Linked DNA regions of Oryza sativa Japonica Group. The protein of the gene in region 1 binds, or shares a complex with, the protein of each later gene. Links are inferred from orthologs where the notes say so. Each region holds a gene or a part of one and is shown on either strand. Other genes may lie near its edges.

Evidence for each region. Proteins that work in one complex are often made in the same cells at the same time.
Region 2: gamma-tubulin complex component 3 (region 1) and gamma-tubulin complex component 2 share a complex: the UniProt entries of both Arabidopsis thaliana proteins name them as parts of the gamma-tubulin complex. The link is inferred for Oryza sativa Japonica Group from reciprocal best matches to the Arabidopsis thaliana genes SPC98 and AT5G17410.

What each region holds. Positions count from the first base shown.
Region 1 is NC_089043.1:21,011,289-21,016,889, reverse strand, and holds gamma-tubulin complex component 3, read right to left. Parts: upstream 3,383-5,601; 5' UTR 3,352-3,382; coding exon 1,094-3,351; intron 1,004-1,093; coding exon 736-1,003; 3' UTR 565-735; intron 475-564; 3' UTR 246-474; downstream 1-245. Other genes in the region: uncharacterized protein, read left to right, coding at 5,203-5,463, 5,546-5,601. UniProt on the Arabidopsis thaliana protein: Gamma-tubulin complex is necessary for microtubule nucleation at the microtubule organizing centers (MTOCs). Required for the positioning of the gamma-tubulin-containing complex on pre-existing microtubules and for the proper organization of cortical arrays.
Region 2 is NC_089038.1:25,543,843-25,549,767, reverse strand, and holds the start of gamma-tubulin complex component 2, read right to left. Parts: upstream 3,917-5,925; 5' UTR 3,824-3,916; coding exon 3,755-3,823; intron 3,655-3,754; coding exon 3,590-3,654; intron 3,500-3,589; coding exon 3,436-3,499; intron 2,776-3,435; coding exon 2,641-2,775; intron 2,553-2,640; coding exon 2,421-2,552; intron 2,112-2,420; coding exon 2,028-2,111; intron 1,944-2,027; coding exon 1,845-1,943; intron 1,590-1,844; coding exon 1,498-1,589; intron 1,302-1,497; coding exon 1,229-1,301; intron 1,106-1,228; coding exon 953-1,105; intron 861-952; coding exon 741-860; intron 656-740; coding exon 602-655; intron 394-601; coding exon 310-393; intron 151-309; coding exon 76-150; intron 1-75. UniProt on the Arabidopsis thaliana protein: Gamma-tubulin complex is necessary for microtubule nucleation at the microtubule organizing centers (MTOCs). Required for the positioning of the gamma-tubulin-containing complex on pre-existing microtubules and for the proper organization of cortical arrays.

The sequences.
Region 1 (5,601 bases):
GTAGAAAATTTTGAGCGAAAGAACCGAGTCTATGTCTCCTTATGAAATTAAGATTGGCAGAAGGTTCCCACACCATGTGCAATCAGCACTCTTATATTGGACTCGAATAACTCACATTATGTGCAGACTTTTCGCACAGCCATTTTGAGATTGGAAACGAATGATACGGTTCATACAAACAAACGAATTATAGGCATCCTGAATTACTTAACAACAATTTTGATGACCAGATAAAGAACAGCAACTAGCAAAATGAGATTTTTCATTCTCCTGTAACCGAAGAATACAAACTGGTAAGGAGAAGCCCCCACACAATGCAACTCTAAAAAATCAGGGTGGAAAATGTGTGCATGAAATGTACACCAGTTCATCTAAAAGTGAAAACCAAAGTAAACTTACATCAATTTTGTACACTATAGTTGTTCAGAATGCATGGCAGCAAGCCTCCAACTTCATGGCATGCGTGGGCAAACTCTGCAGAAAAACCAAATAATCAACATAAACACTTCTACCATCGGGAAACACATATAAAATGAGGATAGTTGTATTGGCCCTAGAAGTTACCTTAAAGGGTGAATTCAACAGGAGGTTCAGGACAAATGAAAGTGGCAGACCATGCCTTTCAAATGACCAAATATCAATCAGCAGGGCTAAGGTGTACAAAAGAATGCCTCACAAACCCCAAACCAAAGAGTAAATCTAACTCCCTACTTTTTCCACATCAGGAACACATCTTCATTTGTTAGACGAAACACGACTGTAGTATTCAGTGAAGTCTAAGCGGAAGAGTAGGAATTTCAAATCAACATGCTGTTGCATAGGTAACTGAGCGATAAATGCATCAAGTGAAGAAGTATAATCTTTCGCGATGCTATCCAAATCTTCACCCATTTTCCGGAAAAGTTCCCCAGCCAGCTGAATCATGGCTTTCCTCCCACCATCCACCCATGAATCCACTTCCTTGGATTTAGCTTTTGCTTTTGATTTTGGCTTACCCTTTCCCCTGCAGTAAAAAAAAGAAGAGGTAAATCAAACAGCATATATGTAATAAGATGGAGAGAGATGGCATTGGTTAATTATGCAACAATCTAACCTCAGTTGCAACTCATATATCCGCTCAAACCACCGATCAGCATGGCTCCGGAATTGCAAAATGATGTCAAAAAGTGCAAAAAGATTCCTCAGAATTCCATGTGATCTCTCACCAAGGAGAGACTTCTCCACAATCGATGTGAGATACTTATCATGTGCCAACAGAAGATCATCTAAATCCTTTGCTGAATCCATTTCTTCTGAGAAACGAGCCCAGGAAACTTCCAGGACCTCAAACATAATGTAGTACTGGAAGTTGGTCACAAAGTGGTTCATTTCATTAAATAGAACTTGGCATTTGCGAAGAACTGAAACAAACTGAGACCTGATGTTTGTTCCCTCCTTGTAAAATGGAGATGAAACAATGCAGTTAGGCTTCATTGTCTTCCAGATTCCAGTCAATGAATGGTCTACACGCTTAAGCTTCCACAGGAAGTTAAAAATCTTGAGGTACCTCTTCATGACAGAAGCTGTGAATACCGTATCCAGAGGAACCCTAGCATCATACTCCAAGGAAAACACATCCCAGCCACGATCACCATCTCCATGATCCATCATCTTTACCTTTATGCGATCCAAGATGTCACGGTCATCATATTGAGCGTTAGATGCTCGGATCGCAGTCTCAAGCAACCCAGCCAAATGGAAGGAGCTAATCCTATTTGCTGGCTCTGACAACTCAGGGCCAACAACATCCATCAGATACTGGACGAAGTCACCCTGCCCAAGAAGCAAATACCTCTTAATCGCAAGACAATGATCTTTGAATCGATACCGCTTATGGATCACATCCATCAAATGCCGATCAATCCTCTTGGCTGCTTCAACCACTAGTGCCTCCAAAGCATCAATCTGCCCATAACCAAGCCCACCTCGACTAGTTGTGGTGCCAACACAGACAGCAGCCTCAGTAGCAGCATCTGCCCAACCATTATCATCACAGCAAACTTTAAGAAAGTTGATTGACTTCCCGGTTCTAAGAATCCTTTGCGCCAGTACTGGAGAAATGAAAGCTGGAAGCATATCAGACTGAAGAAGATAGCCCTCCTGCCACAGAGACTCAGCCTTGACTGGCTGCCCAACAATGAAGAATTCTGCAAACACATCCTCCAACTCCCCTTCTAACACCCAGCTTCGGACCATTTCAAACAGCGGTGAGCACACCCGCCGCAGCAAGCGGCCCATAAAATCCTGGAAGGTGGGATCCCCATGCTGTGCGTGCCCATGGATCGCACCAGCCATTGCGCCACCTCTCAAACCCCGGCATCCATCAACCAAAACCGCCATTAGGCGCATCCTCACCGCAGGCTCAGCTAGCCAAACTGCAAGACGCCGCAGAGAGAGGTAATTACCAGACACCCCTGAATCAGATCCAGGCGTAGGAATCGGATTCAGCGAGTAAGACTCGAGAACGGCGAGGAGCTTATAGTAATCAGAGAGCTCCTCCTGTAGAGCGGAGCAGAAGGCCTGAGCAACGGTGCCGACCTCGGTGGCAGCATCGGAGGGAGAGCGACTGATGTTGTCGGAGATGAACCCCCGCACCTTGCGGAACAGCCACCCCAGCTCGCATAGCTTGCGCACCAGGGTGCGCGTGGAGCGCGGCACGCGGACGCCGTCGGGGAGGTCGTACGCGTCGCTGCCCTTGTCGAACCGCACGTACCGGCCGTCGATCCCCTGGCACGCGTACAGCACGTCGCGCACGAGCGCCGCCTCCGACACCTCCGTCTCGTCGAGCACCAGCTCGGTGTACTCCCGCAGCGCGATCTCGCGGATGTTGTCGGGATCCTTGGAGACCAGCACCACGCCGCCGGGCGGGGCCCCGGGCGCCCGCGAGGCCGGCTTCCCCCCTGCCGCCGCCGCCGCCGCCGCCGCCCCCGAGCCCGCGGCGCGCGGGGGCGCGGCCGTGGGGAGGTTGGGAAGGCAGGACGCGGCGGCGGCGGCGCGGCGGTGGGAGGAGAGCGAGTCGAGCAGGTAGAGGAGCGGCCAGAGCGACGCCGGGCGCGACCTGGCGGAGAGCTTGGCGTGGAGGTCGGCGAAGGCGAGCGCGTCGTCGGGGCGGCCCGACGCGGCGAGGCGGCGCTTGACGGACTCCGCGAGCGCGTGCTCGTCGGGGAGGACGGCTGGCGCGAGGCGGCTCGAGAGCAGCCGGTGCGCGAACCGCAGCGCGCCCCCCGCATCCCTCCCGCCGCCGCCGGATTCGGCGGAGATGAGGCGGTGGACGAGCTCCTTGACGAGATCCTGGGTTTGGTGGTCGTCCATTGGAGGGGCTAGGGTTCGAGCAACCGATTCCACCGAGCGGGGGGGGGGGGGGGGTTTGGTTTGGGGGATTTTGCGGAGGGAGGCGAAGTGGTTTCGTTTCGTTTCTCTCTCCTCGTTTTGTAATTTTTCGGTTTTGGATTTGTGCTGAATTTGGTCGTAATTTTGGGCGGGGAGAGGAATCTTTTTTGAAAAAGGGTGAGGGTTGTGTGACTGCTAGGTGGGACCGGGAGTTTCGAGGTGGGGATGCGATTTTTTTTGGTGTGGCCCACTGTAGGTGGCGTGAATCGCAGAGAAAGCGAAGCCCGGGACCACCACCAGGTGGGACATTGGTTCCTCTTTTTGTGAGTTGTACTGCTGATGAGTGATGAGCAGAAATTTAAAATCGTCCGTGCACAGAATAAGCTCGGTTTGGATTAGAGATGATCGGGATCAACAAATAAAGTTGCATTTCAGCCCTACAAATTTCTCTCCAACATTTTATCAAATACGGAGGAGGATAGACTTCAAGCGGAATTAGGAAAACAGAAAAACAGACTTCAAGTGGAATTTGGAAAACAATTTTAAAAAATTTGATTATAAATTAAAATAAAACTCCTGCAAAGAAAAAGCTGGAACGGGATACACACGCCATACACCTGACAAGACCTCTCCTACTTCGAGCAAGTTAGCAGCATGTGTACAACTTCTCCTATTTCTCAACCCGTTCATGAGAAAAGAGATATGCACGAAACAAGTATGGGCTCCTTCGATTGCTAGCCCATGAATCAATTACAGCCTCGACAAGCTTTCACAATCATCTTAATCAAAGAAATCCTGCTTATACCACCAATCCGTGTTGGAGCCATCCTCTTTGGTTTGGACTATATCATATGTGAATGGTTACAACTAGTTGGTGTTGTTACTGGTTGCGCCTCCAATAGGCTCGCGGATGTGGGCGACTTTATGGTGCAAGGTGGATTGTATCCAATCCGTGTCGGGGGCAACTTCGTTAGCATGGCTGGCACCTTCTTGCGAAGGTAGCCGCACTAGTCGATGTTAGGGATAACCTCGTCGACATGCAATGTTGCAGTAAAGGAGTCGTTTTACGAGCGCATGTTGCTCTTGTCCTTCACCACTAGTCCCAATGTGCAACAGGATGCTTGCCAACAAGCTCAATGCTGCACGGCATTAACCAACATGCAGTGTCTTCGTTGGCTTCATACTTGTCTTGTGCTGATATCGGTAGACATGCTTCTTCACCGTGGTTCGATGATAAGGGAACTTGTTTCCGTCGTCCAAGAATGGTAGCAAAAGACCGGGGCATGCTTTTTACAAAATGGATGCATCGAGGCATCGATGAACTAGCGATGCTCAGTCATATGTATCTTGCTTGGTACCTCAATATCAATCAGATTCGGTACTTTTTATGCATATAGTATAAGACTTGATATTTATCGTGTTGTTTCGGAATGGTATCCCGTACAACAGCGTAAAAGCGAAAGAAAAATTAAAGTACCAGTATAAGAATTGCTATAAATCAAATTCTATATCACAATATAAGAATTTCTTTTACTAATTTATCATGTTTCACAACACTTAAATTTTAAGTGAAACCAGGTCAATTTGATGCTTCAAAAGGGAATCTGATCCGTTCAAAATCTTAAAACTAACAACTGAAGTGACTTAAAAGATACGGAGTACTAAATATTTTGATCTAATTTTAATACTACTAAATAAACAAATTAAAAGACCTTCATATTTATATCTTCAAACTGAGAGTTTAGATGGAGAGGTAGAAGTAGACTCTGCAGAAAGGGGAAAAAAACAGAAACCTTCCAGACCGGAGTGGAGCCTCTCTGTCCCGTGGCGGCCATGTCAGCCGGAAGCGAAAGAGCCCACGCCGCCTTCGCGAGCCCCTCGCCGGTGTCGGGGGCCTTCTTCTCCGCCTCCGGCTCAATCCTCTCCGGCTCAATCCTCTCCGGCTCAATCCTCTCCTCCTCCTCCGCCGCTGTCACCACCACCACCAGCGCGGGTAGGACCCCGTCCTCCTCCTCCGGAGCGCCCACGAAAAAGAAGAAGAAGCCGCCGTTCCGCCCCGTCGCCGACGACACCAAGCCCGTCCTCCGCGACCCGGTTCGCTCCCCTCCCCATCTCAGAACCCATGGGGTGATTTGGTTCCTTCCCATTAATCTGTTCGGTGTTGTGATTTCTGCAGATATCTCGGTCGGACCCGGTGGAGACCGAGCAGGCCGTGCTGCGGCTGCCGCCATT
Region 2 (5,925 bases), on another chromosome or scaffold:
TTAAAAATAGACAAAGAAATATTATTGATTAACAAAACACAATACGGTTTGACGAGACATAGATGATATATTTACCACACAGCAAGTCAAGTCTTCATGACTTGGATCTGAAGCAGCTGCCGTACTTCGCAACGCGATGTCAACAAGAGACTGCAAACATAGAATGGCAATTCATTCAAAAGAACATATAACGAAGAAGGAATAACATATCACTGGAGAAGGATCAGCTTAGACCAGAGCAGTCAAAAATCAGTTTCCGCCATGAGACTATAGCAAGAAACAGACAGACAATACTGCACAACAGGATACCTGAAGTTTTTCAACAGATATTTCTTCTGGTTTCTTTGTAAGCTCCTCTCGGGCAATATCCATAAAGTGAACCAGAAAATCACCCTGCAAAACAAAGAAAGCAAATTGGAGAACTAATACAAGGAAAATAAATATGGATGTGTTTAAACTCAAGTTGACAACATGACATGCATTGTCACTATCAATATCATTGTATTAATAGAATATACCCAGCGAGTGTGGATTTTAAAGAGTACTGATGTGGAGTAATAATACATAATAGAGTAAATGTTCTCCACAATTTTCTCCATACTTGGTCAAGAAGTAGATATCGCTTGAGGGATCGCAGTTTCCCAATGAGATCATACTACACGGTAAATAAAACAAAATTAGAATCCAGACCACAGAAGAAAATGAAATCTAATAGTGCATTTGCTATGAACAATTGTAACCTTATCTTTCATTAGAGTCAAGAGTTCACCACTTGCAAAGTCATACGCAGATTTGATGCATTCAAGATATTGGTGGTTTGAACCAAAGCCCATCAGCTTAGAACTCTCTGACAAGGGAACCTAAGCATAGTATGTAAGACAAGTGTGTTCTTATAACACACACATATAAAATAGCATCTAGTGATGCAACCACAGAAAATAATCATGCATACCTGGACAGTGTACTCACATTCTCTCATAACATTAAGATATTTTCCAGTTGTCAGTATTGTGGCGGCAACATTGGTAAGGAAACTAGGGATGCCATCTTTTAGACTGTATCTTTGCTGCCAATATTTAGCATCATAATCTTGAGTAAGGCTCTCCTATCAAAATCAAAGAAAGCCTCTGATTATCTTAAGAATATAACAAACCCAGTATTCTAGTCTTATGAAAATGCAGAGAACGATGGAATTTAAGTAGGCCAGAAATTCTAAGTCATTCGGTACCTTCTGCAAGGATTTGTTTTCAGCAATGAAGAATTCACCATAAGGATCATCTATAACGCCCTCATAGACCCACCTAAAATGAAGCCCATTAGAAGCTGAAATTATCAAAATACAGCAGACAAGCTAATTAAGTTTTTAATCTAAACAAGTCTTAAGTCTTAACACTACAATCCAATTAAGAACTGGCAATTACAAAATGCTTGTTAACTTCAACACAAAATGTAAGAACCGATAAGTAGCAAAGACAATAAGATATGAACATGATGAACCTTTCTAACATCCTAAGATACGCTGCACTTGCACACTCTGTCATCTTCTCCAGTAATGATCGAACAGCACTATCGCCAGCCATTGCCTTTGCCTATGTTGAAAGGAGTACAGCAATTTAATACATGGATGAAAGAGCTAATCATGTGGACCAGAATGAAAAGGCAACAAAAAACTGAATGTTGAGAAATCGGCTATGTTAAAGAAATATGTTATGCCGATAAGAAAACCAGTCTGTTCAGCTTGGATTGCAGGAGCCTACTGAAAACGATATTCATACCCACCAGATTCTCGTACTTGGAGAAAGAGAGATGCAAAAGAAAAAAAATGTATCTCAGAGGTGAAATACCTGACTTTGAAGTAGATTAAGTGTAGCAGAACCACTGGTGTTATTGGAGATAGCTTTCTCGACTAGAACAGCAAGTGCGTTCAATGAACTCATCATCCTCTGCCAAAAAGCACATCAGGACTTGCTGTGCTTAAAATGATAATCAAATCAGGATAAATAATTAATGCAGTAAATAAAACTCACCTGACAAAAGAACCACAATCCTTGAACTGACAGTCTCCCAAGACGGAACTGGTGCTCCAGTTGAGCAACCATTGCCTGATAATCCTGATAAACAAATAAAACACTTAACTTCGTGCCAAATACACATATGAGGACCAATACTGGAAAACATAGGCCTTCTTTTAATTTAAGGATAATGTAATAAGATTACTCTCTACCAATACAATTTATGCAAATGTTTCCATGTCAGAATAAACAACTGAACACTTGAACTCATGATTCAGGCATTACTGTTTTTACTATATAATATGAAATTGTTAGTATATTCGTTTTTGCCACCTTTTCCAAACATAAGAAAGCTTGTAGTCAAGGCAAATTAATTAAAATATTCCTGGCTCGAAAGAGGGAGTTTACCAAGAGGAATGCCCTCAATGCTGCAGCTAGAGCATGGTTGACCAGGCCACTCTTGAAATGTGATCTGGACTCCACAAAATGGTATACCAAGACAAAATCCTCACATAAGGGAAAAATCCGACGAGTTAATTCCTGCAAAAACCCAAAGAGTTAAGTACCAAACGCATCTGCCTTTTTGGAGGCAATTCATGATCCAGTTGTTGTACTCTTCAGGCCTTACCTGGAGTGCAAGGTCCATTGAAGAATCAATCTGGAAGACAACATACCCCTCCTTTCCCCGTACTCTCTTAATCGAAATGTATCGTCCCTCAATACCCACAAGAGCTGATAACAAATCATCAATGACCAAAAGCTCCTGCAAATCAATAACAGATAGGTTGGAGTTACACTTTTCAGTTGTTTGTGAAAGCTAAATTACTTCAGATAATTTTAAAGATGTGCAAAATGAAGATATTACAATATTGAGCCTCATAGAATAGCTGCTTAAAGCAACATAGTGAAAATGCAGCTATTTTGTGACATTGTTACAACAAATATGTTGTACTTAGCACGGCATGTCAGTATGTCATGAACACCACCGACCAACAAACTCTGAGAATCACTCAAATTCAAACAGAAGATTCGAGTTATGTAACAAAATATTTTATTATCTGAAATTATATCTACTCACACTACATTGACCACATGAACCAAAATATCAAAAGAAAATTCTAACCTAGCACCGTTACATAATATTGTTTTCTGAATTCAAGGAAGTAGGCAGTCCAAAAAATCAAAATACAGTGTTCAATAACATTCCTAGCTCCAATCCAGACTCTGGTTAACAACAATTTACAGTTCATGCACATGTAGAGAGAAAAAAAACACGACGAATTCTTCCAATTAACCCGAACCATTGAGCTCGAAGTAGAAGCGCGGAACCGGAACCTAAACCCTAGCATCGGTCCATTAAAAAAGTAGTCGCTCGAAGCCAATTAAGCCAGCTAAACAACCTAAAAGTACAAGCTACCGGTACCTGCACTGAGACGGCGTACGATCCGATGACACTCTCAGCGCCGCCGCCGCCGCCGCCGCCGCGGCTGCAGATTCAAACGAACTCCGGGGCATCAGAAAAACCACGAGGCGAGCACCAAAAAAAAAATCGCGCGAAATTTTAACCGGCGAATCACCTGAAGGAGTCGAGGGAGTAAGGCTTGGATCCGGCCCCCTGCGCCGCCGCAGCCACCTTGGCCTCCTGCGAGAGAGAGAGCGCGAGGGTGGATGAGGCGGAGGCGGCAATGGGGGCAGCCGAGACAGGGGAGGAGGAGGAGGAGGAGGAGAGAAGGGAGGCGTACCTGATGGAAGCGGCCGGTGAGGTACGGCCGCTCCAGGTTCCAGCGAGGGGTCGCCGGCGCGGGATCCATCTCGAGGAGTCAGTGGAGAAGTGTGGGAGAAGGGTGGTGTGGTGGCTGGTAGGTATAATAGCCGTATAGCCGCGACGAGGAAAGGCGGAAGCCGGAGGAACGGAGCGACCGAACCAACAGGTAAATCGTACAGGCCGCCCGTAGGCCTCGAGGTGGAAAATTTGAACGCTTGGGACGGCAATGGTCGAAGCTTTGTGTTGGGCACTTTTGTGGATTCCTTCTCTTTTTTTTTTCCAAAAAATGCAATCACAAATTGTAAGATGGGAAATGGTTTTTATACATTTTTAAGAACAAAAATGCTTTTACATTTATGAGAAATCCCTTAGCTACATGTTCACACTCTCCTGTAACCCTTGCACCCTTTCTATTTCTTTCTTCAGTGCTCAACGGTATTAAGTATATAAATCTTGTCCTTTGTAATATTACTTTTTCCCTAATTATTGTGCATTATTTCAGTAAGATAAGATATAAATATGGTAAGCTATCTAGATTAGTCTAGTCTAGCTACTTGCTTGACTTAAAATCTCAATGAGTCATATGCCCTAATTATTTCATAAAGTTTGCTTTATTTCTGTAGGGAGTGCTCGTATATACCGTGATCTTCGTACTTTGTTTGCGCTCCTTAGATTGGCATGACTTGGCTTGCAATGTTCTTTTCATATGGTACTTGATCAGGATAGTTTGCTATTTTATCTTTTGCTTTCGGCATTAATAAAGTTATAGTTCAAAGTATCGCTAATAGACTTGGTCTACTCTAGTCACTTCATATATCCGATATATCCCCCCTCCCCCCCCCCTGCGGGTCTCTAAGGGCGGTTTGCCAAGAAACCATAGCTCCATGGTTAGCTTGGGCGATGAATCAATCCATCGAATGAAAATGCACTTTTGTCGGATGATGCATACCGACTAGGAGTCATAGTCATCCCCATATAATGTGTTGTTAATAATAGCTAAAGGAATAAGGAAGAGTTTGATATTCTCTCATCCTCTAGGTCGTTTTGTCCCAATAATTTGTTCCCCTTGTGCAAAAGGATGTGCCATATGTTCCCTGAATCAATCTATATTGTTTATCACTTCAATGCATTGTTCCTTGAAAAAAAATGGATTCTACGCTTACAGGTGAATATAGTTGTAGATTACTACACAGGTGGGGACAATATTTGGCATATCCTAAACTACCCAATCAAATCATGATTAAATCTGATCCATTGGGTAACGAAGAAGAAATTCCTCTGTGATTTCCACATCCATCGTATTAATTAATTGTTCATGCTGGGTTATCTTTCTAGTCATCCTTCTTCCACGTTTTTCCTCATCTTTCTCGCCATGTTCCTCTTTTCCCCGGTTTCTCCCTTGTTGGTCACCAACAACGTGTTTGCCACTTTTGCCAACATCATCAGATCAAATATAGCGCTGATGACTTAGCTCAAGCACCACATGCCATCCAGAAGATTAGGACCGGCCTCATGTAATTTTCTTCGATATATCATGCCATTTTTCCAAACAAAGGATTGAGTTAGCGATATCCGATATTTTAATCAAAGGTTTATTATAGTAGACTACCCAATTATCAATAACTTTTTCGGTATATGCTATATCATCTGATTGTCTTTTTATGTGTTTCTTAAGTTCAAATCTTAGATCTAATAGAGAAAGCACATGTTAAGTAGATAAGTGTAGGGGTACTCGAGAAAGCATGGGTGTAGATGTTCTTTTTTTATTTTAAATTCAAAATGTTTACTGATTATTTTGTATAATAAACCTAGTATTTGTTTGGGCTCCATGTTATGCAAGAAACCGCATCGCAACAATTTTTTATACTACGCTGTTATTTGTTCCTCTGTAACGCAACATCAACAAACTGATTTTCACATGCCATGTTAATCAGTTGTTTTTATATTCACAAATGTATTCCTCTCTCTTTTCTCTTATATCTTTTCTCTAAGTTACCCGTGGTCTAAATCTACCACATATGAACATATTATGTGCTATACGATATGAGCGGCTCTGTAAAAAGTCACTTCGCCTGGTTGTCCAGATATGTTTGTATGTGACAAATACAATACCCATCTAGCTAGAAATACCCGACTTATGTCAAATAA